Linked DNA regions of Lepisosteus oculatus. The protein of the gene in region 1 interacts with the protein of each later gene in a pairwise test. Links are inferred from orthologs where the notes say so. Each region holds a gene or a part of one and is shown on either strand. Other genes may lie near its edges.

Region 1 (12,268 bases):
TGCTTGTGCGCAAAAGTTCATTTCTGTTACCTGATCTCTAAAAAATACCACTACTGTATCCCTGATTTATGACTTTTCGCTACAACAAAGTGTGCAAATTTATACCTATTTTTATCAACAGCAGATTAACAGAAAACAGAGCCAATTAACTAACCTGCAAAATGAAACAATTTTTCCTCAAGTTATTTGGTTGATGCTTCTGTTCAAGGCCACCTACATTTGCATCCCTGTACACAGGTCTAATAGTTCAGTGAAGTATCTCAGGGGCACAAAAGCATTGTCTCAGCTGGGATTTAAACCTTCCAGTTATGAGTCCAAAAACATTGCTCCACATTACTGCAAAAAATAAGACAAATGAAGACCCAATAACTACCTTTCAGCTGTTTCGCATAGCGAAGAAGAAACTGATATGGATGCTCCACTTGCAAGTCAAATTTTATGGTCTGTAATAATATTCTTTCCAGCACCATGACTTCCTCCTGTTGGGAAATAAAACTTCTGTTCTTAGTGCCAGCACACTAACGGGGAATACACCTGCTGAAACAATTCTTGTGACATTTTTATGAGTACAATAGGTAGAGTAGTGAAAAACAGAAGCAGAGCTTAGTTAATGTGCCATATGTTATAATTTAGACCACAGGAAGTCTAAGAGACAGCTACAGCAAAACCACTTTAGAAGCAGTTCCCTTATGATTTGTGAAAGCTTCAAAATTTGTCTTAAAATGCTGTAAATATTAAATATTGGATGCCTGATTTACAGTAAGCGTTTTCATCCTTTATTCTGAATTAAAAAGTACTAACGTCTGCCTATTGTTTGCGCTGCAGGCAGGTGAATTGACAATAACTGTACAGTTCCGGCCACAGGAACAGGCAAAAGCTGTCTGGAAAAAGAATAAACACCAGTTCACCTTTGGGTCGTCTCCGAACTGTGCAAACTGCACATCATTCAATAAGCTGCGAGCGGTTTTAATGATGTCTTTGCACTTCTTCGGGGTCTCCTCCACTTTGCCCGCAAGAAACAGACAACAGGCTCCCGTGACCTACACCCCAAAAACACAGACGTATAAGGACCAGTAAAGACTTCATTCAAGGAATAGATAGTTGTTCTTAAAGGACACATGATGTGCTCTGACAAAATGTGCACATTTTATTAATGACACTTTAATTTTATATTATTTTACATACAATTACCACTTAGTTCTGCTCTTATAATATACTTTAACCTCATTAAAAGTTAGTTCCAAATTACCTAAAAGGAGTGCATGAAAAACAGCATTGATAAACACTAGAATACGTACGTATCTAGGGAACTGTTTGAAAGAATGGAACATGTAGAAGCGGTGAAAATAGATGATCCCAGTCGCCAGTGTGTCATAGTGCCTGATCATGTCATCAAGGAATTAAACAATAAACTGACATCTAGTGAAAAACCATTATGCAGAAGAGAAGAACATAGCGCAGGCAACAAGCTGTGTACTCTCTCCGGAGACACGACAAGACACCGAAATAACACTGTGTATCCGATTATGAGTTTCTTTCCATACTGGTGACTATGGAAAAATTAAAATTGAATTAAAAAAAAAGACAAAAAGCTAGCAAGTCCTAGCAATAATATAACAGCTTTCATCCCAAAATGTGACACGTATCAGAGGGAACCCACTTGACTCGCCCCTGGAATTCCAGATCCAGCTAGGAGCTGCGGTCAAGCTGCACTGGCAGCTCCGCTACACAGCTCACGCAGGAGCGAGACACTGCTTCCCTCAGGGAGGCCACACTGCACTGCCAGTCCGTTAACTGCCCGGCTCGGCGGGTGGAGTCGGAACCTGACACTCCACAAGAACAGCAAAAACACATGGGCAGCCGGCGGCCCCGCGAGGCAGCCGAGGAAAGGATACAGCCCCAGGCGCGTCCCCACGTCGAATATGAACCGGGCTCCCTCTCGCCGGTACCGGGCCTCGGTGGCTGGGTCCAGCCCCTCAGACTGGGAGGGGGTGTGCGCCAGGTCCTTCTTGTCCCAGTACCAGCATGGCTTGATGTGGTCCAGGTTTGCACCAGGCGTACCGGGAGTTGAATTCTCCTTATTTTCCTTCATTTATTAAAAATAATATAACTCACAAGGCAGATCCTTTAAACAGCTCACTGTGCAGCAGCCCTGCAAGTAAAATAAAATCATGTCAGACTGGTGCATAAAGGACAAAATACAACTACTGCTGAAACACCTTTTCTCTTTTCGGCTGAGAACACCCGTCAGCAACAGACGGATAACCTTCTTCTCCACACAGAAGCTCAGCTTCAGACACAAGCCAGCCAGTTCCTCCCTTCTCCAGGGGGATGTTCTCACTTGTTTGTCTGAACTCCTGACAGTGTTTGCATTAATCGAACCAAACTGAGATCTTCTCAGACCTCGGCTGGTCTTGACTGAAGAACTTAGTGCAGTTTGGTTTATTCTGTGCTGCCATCATGGGTTGCTCTTCACGGGCGCCGCGCCTGAAGCGGAGGTGTGGTGTGCACTGGGCACACAGACAGCGCACCGTGTGCCGGAACCAAGGAAAGAACGCACTCCATTACAGGACATGTGTGAGACAGGTAGCAAGGCCATGTCTAATACAGTAAAACTGGTGAATTACTGTTTGCTTCTGTGCTGGGAGGCATCACCCAACAGGGACACAGTGTCCGTTTTCATACTTTTTAACAACGTTTCAATACAGACGGATTTTGACCATGTTTTACTAATACAATGAAAAATTCCAGAAATGTACACAGTGAAGAGTAAAGGACACAGCGAGCCCACACTATCACCTGTGTTTTCAGAGCTGTTACAATTAAGCTACTATAATAAGCTATAATGAATTATAGTAAGCTACAAGGTTTAAAAAGTTTTACAAAGGTAAAAGGCTTTGTGTCAGTAACTGTAAGGCTTTGTGTCTGTAAGGTGCTGGAGAGGGACGTAAAGGGTAATGAAAGAGCTGGACTCATGAGCAAGACTTCGTTTGAGTTCGATGTCCAGCACGGTGCTCTATCACATATAGATGCCGGTTCCATCGCAAGGCCCAGTGTTCTGTCTTACTGTATGTTTTTATATGATCGGCTTTTGTGATGGAACATAATTTCTTAATATTAGGTCTGAGGATAGTGCACATTATCAAAACTTTAACAGCAGTGACTGTTCATCTGGTTGGCAGCGATACTCTTCCCTACCAGCTGCAACAAGACGTAGGACCCACACCACGGCCGTGTCGTTGCGCAGCTTCTTGTGCTTGCCATGCCATGTTAGGACCATGACCACTTGGCCCCCCCCGGCAGCACCCTGCGTCAGTACCGTCGGCCAGAGCGCCCGTCACGTGATTTCACGAGCACCGTTTCAAGCGAGCAATGCGCTGGCCGACCTGTTGGACTGGCCCAGGAGGAAGAACGGTCCTCTCCGAGGTGTCGCTTCGGGCACCTCGTGCGTGAACAAAAACCTGACTCGGCTCCTTTCCGCTTTCTACCCCAGAGGGCACAGGTGTGGTTCACCTAGACGAGGAGCATCAGTGGGAAGGCCTTAAGACGGCCCTGATGAAACACACCCGCGCCAGCGGCAGAATTATATGTCAAATCCAAGCAGCTGACGAAAACACCGAGATGGCAAAAGACAAGAGCAGCAGTAACACACAGGACAGACAGGGGTCTGGTCACCACGCACAGCGAACTGCAAGGCACACCAGCGCTCCCTGTGAACCACAGGAACACACAGCCGCAGTAACTCAGGGATCTCACAGGCGGGTCCTGGGGGGCCTGGCGTCTTCTGTTGTTTTTCCCCCCGTACGAAAAGTCAATTTAACACCTAAACTAATATGCATAAATGTGCCATATATAGGATTTTTAATATAGGCATTTCACAGTCATCCTAAAGGATGACTTATGAAAAACAGGTCTTTAGAGGTACGATTACCAACACACTTGAAAGTCTGGTTTATAATACACCACTCATGCAGTTAATAACATAATTAGACCGCTTAAGCAACAGGAAGAGATTCATGAATGAACCAAACCCCTTAAGCCAGCAGGTAACTGGGCCCTCCACACAGCTGAGGAACAGCACACACTAGAGGGAGTCGCAGTGCGTACCACTTCTCTAACATCTGGACAACGCAAACCTCAGCAACTTCCAACGAGTTCTGAAAGAAATGGCATCTCTCATATGAACACAATATTCTGCGTATTAGCGGGACTGTACGGAGGCCACGCTCCTATCCAGTCAAGACATTTTAACGCCGGCTAACAGTTATTACAGCGCCACAATAATGTAAAAGACGAAAGCCAAAACGCAAGCAGGATTAATAATACAAGATGAATGACAAATCCACCTCAAAAAGCTATAAGAGGCTTATATGTGCATTTATTTCTCAATATCGTTACATTAATGCTGTACCTCTATACGCTGCAGCAGTTACAATAAACAGGGCGTAAACAAATACACGAGGGGTGCATTTCTTCCTTTAAGCCGCTGTTTACAGATTCCATTAAAAAAAAAACCCGTCTCCTGTGTAACGACGCTGCATGATTAGAGATGAGAGAATTGCTTACGACAGTCCGTGACCCTCGAGGAAAACAGCGCGCAACTAAACACAGAAAGCCGATCGGAGCTCTCCAGGTTTCCAGAAGCAGTCACAAAGTGAAACTGAAAACCGGACAGCGCAGCACACCCCGAGCCCCTCGCCTGCACCCCACTTCCCCGCACTGCTCCGCCCGGGGTGCAGAGGCGCCGAGGGCCAGACCGTTTCACAGGGGTACCCCGAGTGAGTAGACACGGGCGTCGTTGAGGAAAGCGTTGTGGGCTGTGTGTGCACAGCTCCGGGTTTTTAACTCGGTTAACTCGTTAGCGCAACGCGCGGCCAGGCGAAGGGACTGCTTCCCACACCACCGACCGGTCAGCGCCTCTCGCTTCAGCCTAGCTGCCCCCAGCGGGGACTGAAACACCGCCGTACACACCTGACGCAGCTGCAAGACGACGGCAGCAGTCTTTATTCCAGGGGAGAAGACCACGGACGTCTTCTGTGTCGGTTTAATCCCACAACAAAACTCCCTCCCGTACAGTGGGCGCCGCCATTTTTGAGACGAACACGGTTACGACAGGCCCTCCGTATGGCGAGCACGGAGGAGGGATGTTTTTTTTGGGTCCCCCGCTCTGATTGACATCCGTGCTGACCAATTAGTAAATGGAAGCCCTTTCCATGTAAGGTAATTCATTCAATGCCAAAGTAAACAGCCAATAGGTGGAGTCAGGAGGCGGGCTTTGATGAGCTGTGTTGTGCAGTCAAACTTAAGAGCCGCCATGTAGTAAGTGACCAATCAAATAAAAGAATAGAACACGTTGTCGCTTCCGCAACCAATCAAAACTGGGGGGTGGGACTACTCAGCCTCGTTTTGAGTGACATACATATTAACCCAATGAAAGAGGAAATACTAGGGGACGTATTTCAGCGTTTATCCAATCAAAACCCTTGAGAATGTATGCAGGAAGTGTTCTTTATTCAATCGCAAAGAGGAACAGTGGTGCAGGCGTGGTTTAATCTGGTTGCAGGGCGGTTAGGTTGCACTCTCAGAGCAACTGGGTGAGGACTGAACTCCAAGCTGACAGGACCTGCAGCAGTTAATTTGGAGGTAATGTTATACAATAATGCTACAAAATCACACACTCATGGGCGGTTCGTGGGTTTGGTTCTAGTTTACGTCGGGAACACACGCTGTTTTACTGTGTTGAGTAACGCGGGGCAGATGCCGATTTCCACCGTCCAGATTTACTTTTCCTCCTCAAAGTTTATCCCTTGGTTGTAATGAATGCCTCGGCGACTTCCCTTAGGTTTTCCTACCAGGAGAGAGTTCAGAAAGGCCGAAGAGCATCTGCTGTCTGCTGTGGAAGAGAAGGCGCTGTGCTGCAGTACAGCACTGTGCGATACACCAAAGTTTCAAATGGCTTCACAGTGTTGTGCCAGACTTTGTCCGAAGCATGCCAAATACCTTACATGGGTTTATTTTTCGAAATTCGTTTTAATTTCATTCCATTTAAGAAGAGAATGGTGGTTGTTACTATAGCTATTCAGTGCTGTACTTTTGTGACAGGAGGCAAAAGGGATTTTTGGCATGATATATCATATCTGTATTAAACATCACCATGGTGTTTACCATTACTGGTGGGAACTGTTTTTGTTCATGATTAAAATCTTAGATATTGCTCCCGTCCTACAGTAGAGCTAAGTGCAGTTAGGAAGCCTGCATGGGCGAAAGGGTTTCTAATTTCTGACTTGTGCAAGTCGCTTCATTTAGGTCATGCAGCTGCACATTCGATCCAAAGCGCCTGATTGGTCGGCTTTAATATTGACTGGGCTTCTTAGTAACAAGCAAAACTGGCCCAATGGGGACAATCATACAGGTCCATCTGCGGTTCCGTTCCTCTTGAAAGGTAAGTCGTCTGAAAATGTTCTCCGTAGGCCGTGGGCAGATTTGATCCCTCATCTCCGCAAAGAAGCAGCTCTGAATGATAGCTTGGGGTCTTTGTAAGGATTTTCTCTCTAGAAGCTCTGCTTCAGGGCGTCTGCACAAAGAGTAGTGGGTGTGTTCTGCAAACTACCCAGCCTGTGCAATTCCATTGGATGTCTCAGGAAGTCGACCCAAATAAACAAGACAGGACGCGCCATTTCTTCAGTTGTAAACATCCTTCTTGTCTTGTCAAAGCACTCTATTTACAGATTGACCTCTTTTTCAACGTTGATCTTTTTAATCTTGATAACAGGAGATGGAAGGCAGTTCGGGTGTCACATCAGTGTGGGTCTTTCTAAAGGTGCCTGGATCTACACAGTGCTCAGACACTCTTACTGTTCGGTGCTGATGTAAAAGGTCCTTTTCCTTCAGGAAAGCTAAACGTCGGGGGGAATCTGCCTTTCCTCTTATTTTTCTGGAGTTTAAAATGAATAAAAGTGTTGAGTAGTAAATATTGTAAAGAGAAGCAATTCTCTTTAAAAGGTGTGAGAAATGGAGGGTAAATATAAAATGTTCTGCAGTAGTTTGGAAACTGGAGTTGCAACCAGATTCCTAACAATTCAAACAATGGCCAACTGCCCATCTTGAAAATGTAATTGTTGATTTTGTGTTCTCCCTACATTAGAGAATTGCTTCGGTTACCCCAAATAAGGACTGATTTATATTTTTACTCAGCAGTGTTCTGGTCTGACTTCAAAGAGAAAAGTCTGAGTTATTTCCAGTGATTTCCTTCTGTCACATGTGCAGCACTTGGTTTCAGTCGTTGAGTCTTTTGACTGAGTCTTGGCTTGGTCTCGTAAAAGTGACAAGGGAAGTGAACCATGTGTCTCGCTGGTGGCCAGGAATTTTGAAAGCAAAGCTGTGCAGCTGTGTGGAAGTGCCTGGCAGTTATTTTGAAAACTTTAGTGCTCTATTTGGCAGTATCCTGGGGGTGGACCCTGAGACATTTTCCGTTACCAGTTATTCCATTGTAACCGAAGAAAAAGTATCAGTGTTTCATGAGTGTTTTATGGAATAGAGTAAACTAAACTGATTGACAGACTGACTTGTCATTTCTGTGTCCAGCTGGCAACCGCTGCGTTGAGCAACACTGCTCCTTCTAGAATAGATGAGGTTTTTCCCAGTTTTTATAGGGCAGTTCAGAGTGCTGGATGAGTGAGGGGAACTGGCATCACCCAGTGGGTTTTTGTGTGTTGCCATACACTGACGGTTTGATCATTTCACCCATGAACTATTTGTTTTTGCCAAGGCACAGCATTTTCTTTTTGTGAACAAGCACCTTGAAAGAATGGCACTCTTGTCTCTCAGGAAATATTCTTATGCACATGCTTCTTGGGGTAAACAGGCGTACGGAGCAGTGCCAGTTCTCGTTTGGTGAGGATTCTCTTTATGTTGCTGTATGTGTCAGTTGCGTGATTTGCAGTAAAAAAGTGATTTTCCTGATGTTTGGAAGCTGTACGTCTGCTTAATACGGCATGAAGTGAAGTACAGTGTCAACCCTGCAGGAATAAAGTTGTGAGTGTGCAGTTGCACATGATGTGGGATGATGCTTTTGCTGTGTAGCTCTGCTGCACAAAGGCAGGCCTTCATGCATACTGCACTATTTTTCTTTGCAGGTTTTATTTGAGGAGAGTGTCAGGACTTGAAAGCTGCTTTATTGGAATATCCTGAGGTCTGATCCTCACAGGATCTCCTTGATGTGGTTTGTGTGAAGTGTCTGTTATTAATGTTCTTGTGTTTTAGATCAGTGGTTTTCCTCAGTGGAACTGGGAGGCCTCTGGGTTCCACAGAAAACATTTTTCACTCCAGATCTAGTTGTACTGCAAGATAATGTCCGTATAGTACTAAAACTGAGTGTGTTATGAAATTTGAATTTTTTTGTGTGCAATACTTTGTTTCATCATGGAAAAGTGACTAAGCGTTTCTAAATTAGAACAGACTGATGGTGTATTTGTATTACAAATAGTTTTGCGAAACTTAGCAAGATGTATTAAGAAGTAATACACTTATTAATAATTCCATTAAGGACCATGTGATTAAATAGTCAACTTTTTCAGTGCAATCATCAAGATGAAACACAGTCTGCCTAAAAATAAGGTATTGAGTGCTTTTATCCTAATGTAATGTACCTCAAAGCCAGTCTTTTGAAATAGTGCTTCACATTAACACACCACACAGCACTGTTTCCATGGAGATGCCATTTAGTCTTCTGCATAATGAAAACAGCCAGTCCAGGTCTTGAACGCACAGCATTCAGAATATCATTACGAGCCTGTTCAGATTCAAACGGTTTGAAAGCGAAGAGGGCTGTGAAGAGTCTGATGCGGCGCATCACGCAGCCGTCTCTGTCCGCAGTCTCGAGTGGACCTCCACCGTCAGGAGTGGCGTCACTCTTCAGCTCCTAGATCATGCCCTTTGTTTTTGCTTTCGCCCAGGCATTTTATTTTGGGGTCTCGTCTTTCATATGAAAGATGAAAGGCGAAGCATGAAAGTGTGCTGTACCCCCCCCCCCCCCGGTGGAGCTGTGTCGGTGCTGGCGGAGGAGATGCCACTGTTGTACCTGCGCCTTGTGGTTCTGAGCTGCATGCCCAGCTCCGGCACACACGTGCAGTAGTAGAATAACGAACAAGAGAGGGGCCATCAGATATAAGCTGGTGATTGTCACTGCTGCTGAGTTTCTGAAGATTATTTTAGGAGTGCAGCCTTTTTAATTTAGCAACTGTAAAATACTTTTCTTTGTGTTATCGAGCTGTTAGGTGCGTAAAGCGTGCCACCTAGTGAAGAGATGTGGGTAAGGCTTTTGTCGAACAGCTTTAAATTTTAATATCTTCCAATAGGCTGCTTAAATTAACAAGGACAGTATTTTAGGATGTATGGGAAGATTTAGGAATCACAAGCTGTGATAATTAGAAATCATAATTAGAAATCATCATGGTTTCAGAAAAGCTTTTGCATGGCTGTGGCTTGGATCTTTTGACTTTAAATATGTTTGTTGATACATAAATGTCCATCAAGGAATATTCTGCTGTCCCTTTGTCCCCTGTTGTGCAGTGAAGCATCCTCCTGATCTTTCTCCAGTCTGAGGATGGGGAAGAAGAGCAGAGTGAAGACCCAGAAATCAGGCACTGGGGCTGCCTCAGTGGTCTCCCCCAAGGAGATGATGAATTTAGTTTCGGATCTGTTGCAAAGTAAGACCTGTTTTTGTTAAGGTGATAATTGGTGCAGGTGCATAAAATCCCTGTGGGTTTCCTGTATCTCAGTGAGGATGTTCTATCTTAGGACATGGTTTTTTTTTTTAAACTTATTTCAGTCCTCCAACACCTAGAGGTTGACATAACATTTCCTAAAGCCACTTATTAAACAATCATGATGTTGTGCTACCTTAATCATCTCACTTATTTAAATGCTACAACTTAAGCAGCGCCAAGAGGCAGCATTACTACCACAACACCATGCACCTTTTTTTAGTTTTTCCAGTTTGAAACATGCAGAAACTTCACTGAAGGTTTTAACAGTTCTGTTTCTTAGCTCTTTATTTGCATCTGCTGTGCCAAAGCTCAGGATTCAATTGTTAATACCTCATTATTGGATCATATTGTATTGTAACATTATGAGTCTCAAACCACTGTTAGGTTGACCAGTCTTGCCATGCATCACAGATGGAGAGAGCCACATTTCCAAGCCTCTTACATCTTGTCAGCAGTGTTTTCAGCTTCTTTAATACCAGAGTATTTAGGGAAACATCAGTTTCAATTCCCACAAAGTCTGGGTAAAAATGAATGTACTTCAACTAATATTCTACAGCAGAATATCAAGTGCCCCATTTTGTTGTGCACGAAATAGGAGGCATGTAATCGATAGTAATAGCTAAAATCTATCAAATAATAGCTCAAATCTGTTCTTTAAACGTTTTCCTTCTTGGACAGAATATAAAACTTTTCACTGTTATAGCAACCTTGTCTGCTATCAAGAAAACAGAAAGCATTTAAACATTACATGTCAGATGTCCTAAATTTGGCAATGGTCTTCAAAGAATGCCTTGATCATGTAACTGGCATTGTCTGAGACAAATCCAGTCATGCTTTTAAAATGTATTTTCAGTGTATTCAAATATTACACTATGCCCTGTGCCACCTATAAGGTATTTCTGAAGTGCAAATATATGTACAGTATCTGCTGTAAGAACTGAAATTGTTATTCTAAAGTTGCTGAGGTTAGCGTACCTACAGGGACACCTGGAGGATATTGGCTGAACTACAGGGCAGGAGTCCTGAAGGTCACATGGTCAAGAAAAGCCCCAGCTCTTAACATGAAATAGACTATGCAGTGCAGACAGACTGCTTTCTTTGGACGTTATTATTGTCTTTACTATTCCACATGATATTTTGTAAGAACTGAGTAAATTTTAAAATGCTATTTGCAGAAGAAACTTTTTTTTATTCACTTTTCCGTGGTTTTTCAAAGATTGTTTTCCCATGCAATTTGAGTAGTTCCGTAAGGAAAATTCATTACAAACCAATCTCCCTGGTTTTATGTATCCTGCTTTGTTCGTAGAGTGCAGCGGCCCGGCCCCAGCTCCGGGAAAGGAATGGGAAGAGTACATTCAGATCCGATCGCTGGTAGAGAAAATCCGCAAAAAGCAGAAAGGTATCTCCCCCTTCAGCAGGGAGCAGTGTCTTTCTGAACAAGCTTCCTCTTGAGCACTTCCTCCAGAGATTCCCCATGCTATTAGCTCTTCTAGTGAAAGGAGTTCAGGTTTTCCCCAGGAGCTGATTTATTGCAGAACCTCATTTTATGTTTTCCTGTGACTTTGTGACCAAGCGTTAGACTTGTCCTCGTCAGTGAGTTCACTGTAAATAAATGTGTGGTGAAAGTGGAGATATCCTGGTGAATATGAATTTGGACCAATTATGATTTTTTTTTTTTCCAATGGAGATTTTAGAAGGGGTTTCTCTGGAGCATTCCTGCTCTCTTTCCCAATACACATCACCCCCCCTTTCTGCCCTCTGATGCTTTGAGTATCTGTCCATTATTTTGTGCATAATAATAACATAGCAGCAATAATAATAATAGCAGCAGCAGGTCACTTGTCTTTTTTTAAAATGACTTGATCCTGGTTTCTCACGGGTCCAGGTTTATCGGTGGTGTTTGATGGGACAAGGGACGACTTTTTCCCAGAGCTCATGTCGTGGGCAGCAGAAAACGGAGCCTCGTGTGAAGGCTTTGAAATCTCCAATTTCGCAGAAGAAGGCTATGGTTTGAAAGCGACGAGGGATATTAAGGTTTGTATTCTTTCTCTCGCTTCGTGGGGAGTCTCATGCCCGTTTTTTTTTCAGATAGCCCCTTGTTTTCCAGGATGGAGAAGATGCAGCGTGACTGAATGGTAGAATAAGACGGTACTCATGGGTTAGTGTGGCCGTGGTGCCACTCACTCTGTGAATGAGTGGAAGGCAAGTCCTCCTAATGAAAGGGCGGGTTCATCTGAGGGCCCTGGACAGAGAGGGTTTGTTCCCACCTCTTGGGAGCCCTGTTTGGTGTAGCTAGATGTTGAGATATTTTCTGTCGTACAAAAGAGACTCGGAACGTTATTGTTTACTTTTCAAATGAAGTTGGCTAACTCCTCGTGTGCGTGTGGCTGTACATTATACAGTACCTTAAAAGTACAGTACCCTATAAGGCTCGACAGCGGCAATGCTGGGTATCTTTCTCCCCTTCAGTGTGAACTTTTCTAGTTCCTTTGTGGACGACA
Region 2 (12,882 bases), on another chromosome or scaffold:
CTGTCATAATTCAGCGTGTCCTTGAACCTCTGCAGAAAGTCACGTCCTTGCCCATGGTCAGACTACATTCAGCACTGCCAGCTCACATGCTGTTCAGGAGAATTCATTCACTTAGCTGTCTTTGGGCCATGGGGACAAAGCACAGCCAACACAGATTAGATTTTCCCTGGCTAACTCATCACATAAATTAAATAAAATAAAAAAGAATATGATATTGCTTGCTCCTGCAACTAATGACTTGTTGAGTCATTTATAGGAAGATTTTTTCTTGAAGCTTTGGCGAAGATGGTGTGGGGAACAGTCATCTGATCTATTCTGGCTGGCCACAGCGATGAGGACTTCACCTGTCTGTGATGTAAGTAAGGAGCCCAGTTGTCATTTATTTCCCAGCCCCCTGATACAAATTCAGCATTAGTGTTCGCAGACCATCGCCCTACTGCTATGCAAATTGCCTTATTTCTCTGTTCCTTGCTGTGAACTTTCTTGCTATGAACTAACGTGTATTTATTATTCCAAAGCAGCTCTTTGCTCAGCCAGCACCTTTTCTCTCTTGCCTCTGCTGCACGGACAGCGTGCCGCTCCCGGATTTGTTGGCTTTTAGCAGAGACCTCTACTCTGCAATAATAGATCTAACCTTTTGGTTTTTAAGTCACCAACAGCGAATGGCTGTTAAGGAAAATGCACAGGCCTTTATCTCCAGGCATGAAAACGCAAATCTTTGTACAGCTCAAAACCCTCAGAGCTCCATCTGAACCAGAGTATCCGTATAGCATGAATGAATCTCAAAATGTAGAGGGCAATTGTACCCTCATTTGTATGTGTAGGCAATATACTGTACTGTATCATATATAACACATATTATAACAATATGTACCTCTAGAATACTGGAAAAGCATGTTTTTAAAAGGTAGGGATTTAATACCGTGCTTGTTGATCTGACACTGGTATATAGTGTCATAGTATATAGTTCATTAAGCAATAACATGCAAATTTACTATTTTTAAAGATTATATTAAAGATCCCTCCATGCATCAAAGCATTCATCTTTCCATATTTAGTAATGCGTATGTAAAGATAATTTAAACCTAGAAAAAATAAATGCTTGTATGTTTGTAAATATGTTTTAATATAGTCTCTGTGGTGTTGAGCCTTGCTAACACCACAGTAAAGTTCATACTGGGGAATGGGGGCAGTTGTGGTCCCAGATTGAGCAGTGCTGGCCATGCTGGGTGTGAGACAGTAGAAGGACAGAAGCAGGTGACCATGACGTCTGTGTGAACATGCAAGACTCCAGAGCTGGCACTGCTCAGGCACATGCTGAGGAGGGTCCTGGCTCACTCTTGGGTACAACACGATCTGGCCGTCTTACTGATTCAGCGCATGGGAGAGAGATTCGGATTATTCAACATCACTGTCTGATGCCCATTAGCGCAAAGCCATCAGAACTCCTGCTTTCACAAACTTTTCTCTCCTCCAGTAGCATGATCTGATGTTCTTTCTTTTGTTTTCATTTGGAAGACATCCTAGTCTATATCATTGAGGTATGAACACAGGGGGCTTGATTTTCATCTGTGGGCGAACTCCCACATTAAATTCATTTAATGATGAAATTTAATGGGCTATCTTCCCACCATTGAAACCACAGGAACTGACTCTAATTGACCTAGAAGTGTCTGTTCTTCCAAATGTCCGATATTTCAATACTAAACAAACAAAATGAGAAGAGATTTATCATTAAAATTTCAGTTGGTCACGGATTTTTTTGTTTCTAATCCTTATTTGGGTGCTTGGGTGATTTATATTGTAACATCACTAATCACCTAGGGCCTCTGTTAAATGAATGCTTGCCTGTGATTAATGAATCCATTGCATTAATTCAGTTTAATAGCCTCCTGATAGAGAGCTATTACAATGCTAGGTTTACACAATTCCTTTGTGGGTTCTCATTAGTTTGCTGAAGGCTTACAAACAAGATATAACTGCTTCGTGGTTACGTCCAAAACTGCAAGGTGTAACACCATTCTGTTCACAGCTACAGTCTCCCTGGATTTGAATCCTGAAGAAGATGGCAAGCAGATTCATGTGCTGTTAAAAACACAGCCGTCAAAGGAACAGGAATGCAAAGGCAAAGCGACAAGTTGTTTTTGCTTTTATCTCTATGAAATCATTTCAAAAAGCTCCAAGCAATGCTTTTGTAAGAATGCAAATAAAAGTCACCTGAACATGAGATAAACACTGGCTTACGCTTCACAATTACAGTGAATTAGCTGTTGGTGTTTGGACTGGCATAAGTGGTGCCTCTGTTACAGATATTTATAACGGGAATTGATAGCACATAGTTCTGAGCTCCCTCCTGCCAAGTCTTCATCCACTGAGATACTGAAAAAACTGCCATCCAGCACTAGAGCCACTGAGCAACTGAACATACTGCAGCCCAACACTACAATCTGATTAATGAACAGTTCTCTGCAGTCTTGCAATTCCCTCCTGCATGCCTGTCCCAAACATAAATTAACAAATGAATGTGTTGGCAATTACAGACAAAAACCTAACCAGATGAGAGCAAGTCTCAGCATTCCATGAGGCCCATACAGAGAAACTCTATTAGGAAATCCAAAGTGTGCAGAGAAACTGTCCTATAAATTACTTTATTTCCTTGAGTTCAATGTTAATTTGAATTCATTTTTAAAAGGCCTAAAATAGTGCATTTTCTCATAGTTCCTGGATGATTCTTTGGCCAGCAAGACCAGAGTGCTGTCCTCATGTGTTGTAATGTAATGGGCCAGAAGCTCTGTGTTCATGTATTTTAAACTCACCCTATCATTTTAATTTGCTGCCTTAGAAAACCAGTCCTCTTTCCCTTGGCCAATTAATGGTTCAGTTAATTGATTACGTTTGTTGCTTTGTGTTTAGCTAAGTAGTTCCAGTGGCCAACAATTGTAATAACTGCATCTTACCACTGAGTGGCAGTGTTCAACATATGAAACTAGAAAAGAGACGTGCACCCAGCTAAGAACAGCTTCAATGACGCAGCACTGCCACCTATGAAGACAAGACTCTTGGCAGAACCAATCATAAGTAATTTTACAGTATATACCTGTTTCTCAGATGACTGCATTGCATCCTTAAACATATATCATTTCCCACGGAACGTGGTAGCCTCAGTTAATACAAAATGCATTTTTCTGTCTATTTCAGAGTTTTTGCATTTATGACTTTGGTTTTTCACTTTCCAAACAACGATTTTGTATTTTTAACGTGCATGAAGGTGCAGGTTCTATTCAATGTAAAATTTTAAATGATCATTCTTCAACTCTTGCAGTTGATAGCATGCAAAAATCTAATGCGAAACTCTGTTTCTACAACCTAGGTTACATCTCAGCATAAAATGCACTTTACAATTTCATACTGTAGCAGTGGGAATAGACCTCCAGTTAAAACAATTTGCATTTAGTGAATTTTGCATAATATGTTCCTTAACCAGTTCAAGCACTAGTCCTGCTCCACTGAATTTTTGAATGTGGTACCAGGTGTAGGCCAGGACTGCAGACACTTAATAGTTTGAACCTTCAGTTTTATAATACAGAGTAGGAACCTGAGCACTGAGCTGTTTAACCAAGCCCACTGCCTTCCACATTCCAGCACTGTATTCACTGACCCATTGAGCTCATTGCTTCCAGCACTGTTAACCATTCAATCTCTAGAGATACTTCTCCTCAACACTCCAACCGCTGAGTTGCTGAACACACCACTGTCTAGCACTCTGGCCACTACTCTACCCAACATAATGCAGCCCAAAATCCCAACCATTTAACCACGTAGCTACTGAATATGCTTCTTTTAGATACTTCTGCACCACACTTCCACATTCCAGCCATTCAGCGACTCAACACAAAGCTGCCTTGTACTCCAAGCACTGAGCTACTGAACACTTTGCAACCCAGCAAGCCAGCCACTGAGCCACAGAATGCACTACAGTTCTACACTCCAACCACTGAAATACTGAACACATTGCACTCCAGCACTGAGCCACTGAACACGTTGCAGCCAAGCATGTTGACCACTGAGCCACTGAACACACTGCAGTACAGCACTTCAACCACTAAGCCACTGAACACACTGTACCACAGCACTAAGCCACTGAACACACTGTACCCCGGCACTAAGCTACTGAACGCACTGCAGCCCAGCACTCTGAAAACACTGAACCACTGAACACCTGCACTCCAGCAGTGCACACACTGCAGTGCAGCACTCCAGCCACTGAGCTACTGAACATACTGTTGCTTTGCACACCATCCCCTAAACCACAATCCTGTATCTCCCTTGTACACAGATATATTTTGGATATACTTTGGCCTGGAACAGAAACACAACACACACCTGTAGGGGCAGTAATGTGACTGTTTCTAGTTTTCTAATCACATACAGATGTTTAACAGAGACAGCAAGCAGGGCTTTAATACTTACAAGAGGGAAGATAGCAGTGAGAACAGGAGCCCTACTCCTTCAGCTCCAGGTCTCTCTTGATAAGCACTAAGAAATATAATCCCCAGTGTAGACTAATGATTAGGTCTGCTGCTGGCAGGAGATGTGAGTTAAGGGTCCTTTCTGTGGCCGTGGTCAGAAGCAGCCGTCCTCTTCATGTGCACAGTTCTGACTAAAAAAAACAACAAATGTGTTTCACTGAAGTATTTTATAATCAGAGCTTGTCCCCGCCTTCCTGCTTCCCTCCCCACCTCTATTGTTATAGCAACAGCCAATGACAGGGGAGGAACAGACAGCCTCTTTTAACCAGCCCTACACAGTGCTCAAAGTACTTCTCACTCTGTAGAGATAATACTGCAGGGCTTTCTGCCTGTGAGGTGAATGTGTTGAGTTTTTATTTGCTGCCTCTGGAAGGTGTTGAATTAGCAGCTCTGACTACTTGTGAAAGAACAGGTCTCTTTCCATTTCAGGACAAGCCAACACAATCTCAGAAAAAGTGGTGCTGTCAATTGGGAACATTGAGTATTGCTGTTACAAGAGATTTTACACAACTAAACAGACAGGCATTTAAAAGGCACATGCACCATTACAAATACATAATGAGCATGTAAGCCTGGTTACTAAGACCAGGTACAGACCAGTGGGAGTCTCAGTCTTCAGATAGCCTTGACATGCTTAAGAGGTTGCCGGGTTTGTTTACCGATGTTTAGGTGCACTGCTTTGCATAAAGCGGAGAGTTGCGGCTCAGTTCCCAGTCACATTACCAGTGACGCAAACTTTTTAATACAAGATAATTTACAAGTGAGCCATTCTGTCCTTCCTGCTTCCTTGGGTACTAACAGCTAGCTTGCCCAAGGATGTCATCCAGCTCTGTCTTGAATCAGCTTTAAAAACCGTGGCCTTGTTCCAGACTCCTTCAAGTCTCTGTGTAAAGAACACTTCTCCTATTCTCACCTTAAAATACATTTCCTCTTATTTTGCACTTGTGCCCCCTGTTCACCATTGACCATAAAGACTTCCTGTGAGCTTGTTAATACAGTTCTGGACTTTGAATACTTACATCAAGTCCCCTCACCAGCTAAGGGGTTGAAGAATAAAGAGAGTTCAGTTTTAAACTGAGTGTGTCCTGAGCATGCGGCACAGTCCTTTGAGATCATGAATTAACTGAATAAACCAATTTAAGAAATTGAATCAGTCTGTTTGTAATGTGGCAACCACAGTGGTGCACAGTATTCTGTGGGAGATCTTAGTAATACCCAAACCTACAAATCCTGGGAAACCATGTTGTCAGGCCAGCCTTCAACCCCATATTAGAGGCTAGGCTCTGTCTTAAAACCTTCCTTTACACAACAAATTTTAATCTGGTTTAATTAATTGTAGTCAGTTGTATAAAGAAGAATGTTTTACTTCTTCACCTACTAATATCGAAAATGGCTCCAGTAGCAGAGAAATAAAACTCACTGTCCATCATTCTTTGCTGTTAGCATAGCTGCAGGGTGTTCCCCCCGTGAAGCTGAGGGTTAAAGTGCGCAGTAGGAGTTATTTCCCTGAGAACAATGCTGTCTACATTGTTTCCAGTTTGCACTGTTGCTTCCAAAGTCAATTTGCCAGGAACACATCGACAACTGTGTTCAGTTTCAAACTCTGTGGGGGATACATCTTCAAAACCTTTTACTGCGAGATGTCTTTCAGCAACGTTTTGATTGAAGAAATGGGGGGAGAAAATCATACTGGTAGAGAACTAGAAATAAATTACATCAAAGCTCTTTATAGCGCAGCTTTAAATGTACCCATCCAGTAAAAAATTTCGTGCTATTTACCTGTTAAAATGTGCTTTGTCTTTTCCTTTAGGAATACAGTGACCTGCCTTGGAGTAAATTGCTTTCATCTCTCACCCAATTACACCTCTTTGACTCCATTAAATAAAGATTAAGGAGAGTCTGAAATCAAAATGTTATTCTGCAGTTCAGTCAGCCTTGGGGATTTCTTTCCTTCAGCTGGGAATAAAAAACGTACTGTATATATGTCTTTGATTAGAAATTTAAACCTGGGCAGGGAATACTGTAGAAACTACAAGAATCCAAAAGAAAATGCAATAAAATAATTTAATCTGAAGTGGCTAACAGGGCTCTGCACTGAGGCTTTACTGGTGAGAGAGGTTGGTGTTGTCATGAAGCTGCAGACCCGTCTCCCAGACTGTAACACAGCACTGAGCCCAGAAAGGAGGCGAATGGAAAGGTCATGTGCAATATTGAGGAGGCAGAACCAGTCAGCATTCAGGATTACTTAATGCATGCAGTGAAAAAAAGGGGAGAGGAGGGCAAAAGGCACAGGAAAACCGTCTCCCTCTGCTGGGCACAACAGTCACTCCAGACCCAATTAGACCAACCCTTAAACGATCTAAGAGGTTCCTGAGAAGTGCCAGAGTGGGGGTGGAGAGGTTTGCTCTGACAAGAAAGGGCAGAAATGTGGGTTTATTAAACTCTGGATCGTTGTCACCAGACATCATTCAGGGTCACTGAATATGCATGTGCAATTTAGTAACTGTTGTTAACTGTCAAAGGGTCTTTGCTTTACTGGAATGTTTTCCTCTTCTGCTCAGAAATACAGTGCCCTTTCCTGGCCTCTCCACATGCTGGGCATACTAGCATTATGCATTGTAAATAGAAGGTAGTGATGAAGCTACCGCTCTGATTCCTAGATGATATGCAAGCCCAGGTCTCCAAGTCTTCACCACACACACATTCCCCTTTCTCTGAAGGGGCCAGTGTGCTCACTAGTATTGTGCATACACATGTTGCACCACAGGTGCACAACACTGCTCCCTCTGTGTCTGAATGTTCATTTCACCTGAGTTCGTAAGTACCCAGTTTAACGTAGTGCCTACATAATGGGATCCAACTGACAAAGATCCTTTGCCACTCACAAGTTAAGGAGGCATGTGAGCTCCATTGGACTAAGTTGCCATTGTTAACTGGAGTTGTGCTCCACAGCATAGTAATCTTCCCCATAATAGGATAAAGTAAAAAAATATAAGATTATACCTGACTGGCACAACAGGCCACAGTAAAAGTGCAAAGAAATGCATGGCACACTTAACTATTTGTTTTCCTAACAAAGATGGCTGCCAGCACCCTAAAAGAGTATGACCTGAGCATCAGGTCTTGTACCTGGATGGTCATGAGTTCAAATCCCAGGTGAGACACAGCTATAATAATAATAATAATTGCTTACACTTATATAGCGCTTTTCTGGACACTCCACTCAAAGCGCTTTACAGGTAATGGGGTCTCCCCTCCACCACCACCAATGTGCAGCATCCACCTGGATGATGCGACGGCAGCCATAGTGCGCCAGAACGCTCACCACACATCAGCTATCAGTGGGGAGGAGAGCAGAGTAATGTAGCCAATTCATAGAGGGGGATTATTAGGAGGCCATGATGGGGTAAAGGCCAGGGGGGAAATTTGGCCAGGACACCGGGGTTACACCCTGAAGCGCCCTGGGATTTTTAATGACCACAGAGAGTCAGGACCTCGGTTTTACGTCTCATCCGAAGGACGGCGCCTGTTTACAGTATAGTGTCCCCGTCACTATACTGGGGCATTAGGACCCACATGGACCGCAGGGTGAGCGCCCCCTGCTGGCCCCACTAACACCTCTTCCAGCAGCAACCTTAGTTTTTCCCAGGAGGTCTCCCATCCAGGTACTGACCAGGCTCACACCTGCTTAGCTTCAGTGGGTTGCCAGTTGTGAGTTGCAGGGTGATATGGGCACCCTTGAGCAAGATGCTTCCCTTGGACACCTTAAAATGTCCAGCTGTACAAAGGGATACAGTACAAATATTGTGCTCTGGATAAAAGTGCAATCCAAACAATTATACAAAGAATAGCAACACTCTTCCTGTTCTGACCAGCGTCTTAATGCAACAGTGGTTTAGAGCCAGTCAATTACAGGCAGGGTGTTTGTTTTTTTTAACTCTTTCTTTAATATCAACATGGTTATTGAGATTTAAAATACATCAAAGCACATTTTGGGATTGGAAGCACTTTGGCACAGCTATGTGTATCTGATGGGCTAGAAAATGCAAACAAAATGTGATCAAAGATTTTCTGTCAAATTGCTGTAAAAGGGAAAGGGCTTTATAGAAGTTTATGAACCAGGCATGAAACTTGGATGCCTTCCACACCACAGTGTATAAAAGTTTCAGTGATTCCTGGTGGAATCAACTGCTGGGTCAGTAAAGCAGTTGAAGGGGGTTATGTGATGGGACAAATGACCTCTCCTCTTTTGTAAAATTTTCTTTGTTCTGATGCTGTTAAATTTCAATTCTAATGTTCCTCTGCAGACAGTGTGTAAATAGGAACACTGCACACTAAAAATACCAACATTAATCCCCATTGTTCTTGTCTGTGAAAGAGCAACAACAGGTGGCCAGCAGTGGATCTGCTAGGAGGGTCAGTGTGGATATTACATTACAGAGCATGTAGCTGAGAATTCAGGTACTGATGATCTAGGCACAAACAGCTGACCACTGATGGAAAGCTTCAGCTACCACAGCTATGACATAGAATATCAAACATTCCACAGAAAAAAATAAAAACCCCAGAAAATATAATATGAACAGGGTTTAAAATTTCGATTTGTCCTACTGACAGGTGCTAAGAGCAGGCTCTTGCTGTAGCAGTAAGACGGCTCCTTGTGCAGCTCTTTAGTTCTTTAGTATGGTTTAGTGTGGTTTACAGTATGTACAGTTTTGGTTTTCAGGACATTTTGTAGTCCTTAGTGTTTGTATCAGTGTACAGAGCTAGTGTCTGCCAACATGCTGGAGAAGACCAAGGAAGGGTTATTAATACAATTCACCTTTTATTGTCAGATCTTGATCTCTGACACGGTTAGCTTGAGGACCATGAATGAGTGTTCTGTCTCCTTCTTTTGCAAAACTGAGGGACTTTTCATTTCAGTCCCACACACCTCCATATCACAACCTGGGCTGAATGGGACCCGGTTGCAGACACTTTCAGAACACTGTGAATTGCATGTCACCTCCTGTTCAATGTGTGCTTGATGATTGCAGAGGTCCACACACAATAATATGGTGTATGTATGGGAGGTGGGGGGGAATACTTCATCTTGTAACAGTATGAAAGCTGATTAAAACGATGTGGGTGAGATTCATGTGGAAACACCAGATATCATTGCTGGTGTAGCTATTCACAGAACACGGTGAGTCCACTTTGATTAGCCAAGCCACAATCTTTATATTCATATGGATGCATAAAATCTAAAAATAAGAAACTAGGAGTTTTTAAGCAGTGAAATCAATGTAGGGCATCATGCTGAGTGGTCTGGGTGTTGCTGGTTCGAGACCAGACTATGTCTTTATCTGATTGCAAACTGGGTTTCCCTAAGTGGCAGAGTGTAAGAGGTCAGGTTTCGTCAGGGCTTCAGTCATCTGGAGTATCAATATTATGGAGAGAAATGGCGACCTCCTGTGGCCTGGCAGATGCCTGCCCCTTGCACTGCTGTCAGCAGTCCTCAGATCTGTGTTCGTTCGGCTGAAACCTGCTGCATGAAAAATGGCAGATGGCCCAAAGCAATGTGCACTTCAGGGGAAAATGTGCACACTGCTGGTGCTGACCTTATTGACAACACCGCTCTACACTGGAGGCAAATTAAGAAAAAGAATAGAATCAGTGACTCCAAGCATACAAAAAGAAAATCACACAAACTGATTTGTTCTGTGTGCCCTGGAGCTCACTGAGACTCTAACATGATTTAACTTTGTTTCAATGTTCTCTGATGTCTTAGAATGCTTGTATATACTGTAACACCCTGAGGGGAAGAGGAAGAGAGCACAGCTACATTCCCAATACAAAGTAAAAGAACTACGGAGGGCCAGATTGAAGGTAAAAAAAACTACAACTCCCAGAAAACCTCTGGGCAAGACCCTGGGTAAAAGTGAGTAATTATTGGGATCTGACACACCTGGAGGAAAGCACCTGCCTCAGGTAAGAGAAGGTTACAGATCACAGTTATTTAGATTGTTTAGCAAGATAGAGTTGAAAAGGCTAGTGGAAAGATTGAAGTGGAAATATAATTTTTGAAAACCACTATTTTTTAACTTGGTCTGACTGAGAAGCACGATTTAGTTAAACAGATATCTGGACTGGAGAAAGGACATGAGAGAAAGGTATTTTTTGCTTCTGCGTAAGTTGTGGCATTGTATTGGTGAAGCTCACATGTAGAAAGATGCCAGTGTACTAAAATGTGTGTGTATTTGTTTAACATGTCACACTTGAGGAGTGTACTGTATGTGTATCTTGAATATAAAAACAAACCAGGTCTTTCCATGGGGTTTGCACATACAAAGCTGATCTCTTGAAGAGACACAAGATGCCTTTGACCACATGAAATGCTTCGGCAGGATATTCTTGCTTTTGGAATGAGATGTTTAAAAGAGGCTGAGGAGGGTTAAGATCTATAGCTTGGATGTAAAGTCCTGGTCCCAGAGGGCTAGGTGTGTTTGTGGGTTTCCAATGTCTCTACAACAAGCCCTTCTTCTCAGCAGATGTCTCAAGAAGCTGAAACCCATGAAAACCCATGATGGAATAAAACATATCATGCAAAGAGACATTATTATATTCACATTCAACACTATCTTGTGCAGTGAATCCTTTTCTATACCAAACTTATACTAAACTATATTGACCTCATGTGAAAATGTCTCTCAGCCCTTCCCCCAATTAACCAATCACTGAATTAACTCTGCAACCCACACACACACAATAGAGATCTCAAGGCCTCTAGTGCCAGGTAAGTTGAATCTGTTATCCTCACTACTGTGAGACCTGCTACAGTCTCTTTTATAAGCTATTCAATTGGTCTACTTAAGTCAGGAACCAGCTGGTTTGGCTCATTAAGACTTGTGTTGGAATGAAAACCCACCCAAGGGTACCACTGATCTATGCGTGTACCCCTTAAGGACAGGTTTCTCCAACCCAGTCTTGTAGAACCCCAATCCAGCTTGTCTTAAAGGTTGCCCTAAGTACCTGTTTCTAAAACTCTAGACCACTGCTAGGAGATTAATCACTTAAGAAAGCAATTAGATTAACTTTAGGAAAACAGGGCAATAAGATGTGAAAGATTTTATGTTCATAATGTTCTCAAAAAAGTTGCTTAACAAACCTGCTTATCCGAACACAATTAAAATATTCCAGGCCTTTAGAAATTGATGATTCAATAGTTACTTCTTGACCCTTTCTGGAATGGGGCCCTGCAGAACTAAAGTTGGAGACCCCACAAGACTGCTGATAGATCTATGGGCATGTATGAGTGAGCAGTTATCCAGTCTGGTGAAATCCCCTCTCTGATATGTTAAATCACCAGATAGAAGACATTTGGTGCACTGCTCCCATCTCTGTTCCAGGAGTGGCTGAGAATTTTCCTCTGCGTCTTAGCTCAGTGTCCGTGACGCTGTCTTTTATCTCTACTCTGTTCTTCAAAAAGCCAAATCCTACTGGCACCGCAGATGGTAGGCAAAGAGAGCAGAACAGAACGTGTCAGAATCATTTCCATCGCTTCCTCCCCCCACACAGTTCCCATCTCCATTGTGGATTACCTTAACCATCTGGGCTCAGGTTAATCAGAGTGATTTGATGCAGCTTTGCAAATTACAAAGGACCGAAACGTCTGTCTTCTGTCAGATATGAAGCATCTGTCATTTGGGTTCTGATTTGGCTGCTCTTTCTCTGCGCTGGTGAACTCAAGTGTGTAGGTAGCGTGCCCGTGTCACTTCAGTGTCCTATGATTAAAGCTCTGTTTCATGAGAAAACTGAAACACTTTGAATTATGCCAACATAAATAAAGTGACATTCTGAAACGTGGAGTAAAATAGAGGAAAAGGTAGTCTGGCAAACGTGTTAATGGAAATGAAAACTGGTAAATCACGTCTTTGTTGTTGACACTTCTGGTAATTGCTGCTTGGAGCACTTGAAGTTTCTCATTGTGTTCAACTGTTGCAGATCATCACATTAAGATGTAATTAAGAGAATCTGCTAATATATTGAGAGCTGCTACATCCACTGAAAACCATTACAATTAAATTGCACTACGTATGTCACCTACAAGACTTGCACAGATTATAGAGTACTGTGAGATGACTCCAAGTATGTAGACCTGAGTGTTTAATGTGTGATGTTGGCCAGTTTACTTGATGGACAACTCAGGCTTTTCCACCTGGATGAATTAATGAAGTTGCCGCTAAAAAGGGAATTAAAATGTAAATTGAGCACAAGTAATTGTTACTCATTAACTCTTAGGCATCAAAACATTGGCACTGTTGTCTTTTAAAATTCACAAAATCCATGATGCTTTTTTTGCCTTTACTTATTT

The links.
Region 2: the proteins of ccnk (region 1) and cdk18 interact in binary tests that used the Homo sapiens proteins (3 or more experiments, as listed by UniProt). The two-hybrid records come from large-scale screens. The link is inferred for Lepisosteus oculatus from reciprocal best matches to the Homo sapiens genes CCNK and CDK18.

What each region holds. Positions count from the first base shown.
Region 1 is NC_090703.1:1,879,530-1,891,797, reverse strand, and holds the start of ccnk (cyclin-K), read right to left. Parts: upstream 5,156-12,268; 5' UTR 4,972-5,155; intron 4,922-4,971; exon of another isoform or gene 4,567-4,921; intron 2,153-4,566; 5' UTR 2,093-2,152; coding exon 1,896-2,092; intron 1,381-1,895; coding exon 1,299-1,380; intron 1,041-1,298; coding exon 909-1,040; intron 480-908; coding exon 374-479; intron 1-373. Other genes in the region: setd3 (actin-histidine N-methyltransferase), read left to right, coding at 9,605-9,707, 11,074-11,166, 11,653-11,801. UniProt on the Homo sapiens protein: Regulatory subunit of cyclin-dependent kinases that mediates activation of target kinases.
Region 2 is NC_090700.1:37,778,858-37,791,739, forward strand, and holds the start of cdk18 (cyclin-dependent kinase 18), read right to left. Parts: upstream 4,677-12,882; 5' UTR 4,471-4,676; intron 1-4,470. UniProt on the Homo sapiens protein: May play a role in signal transduction cascades in terminally differentiated cells.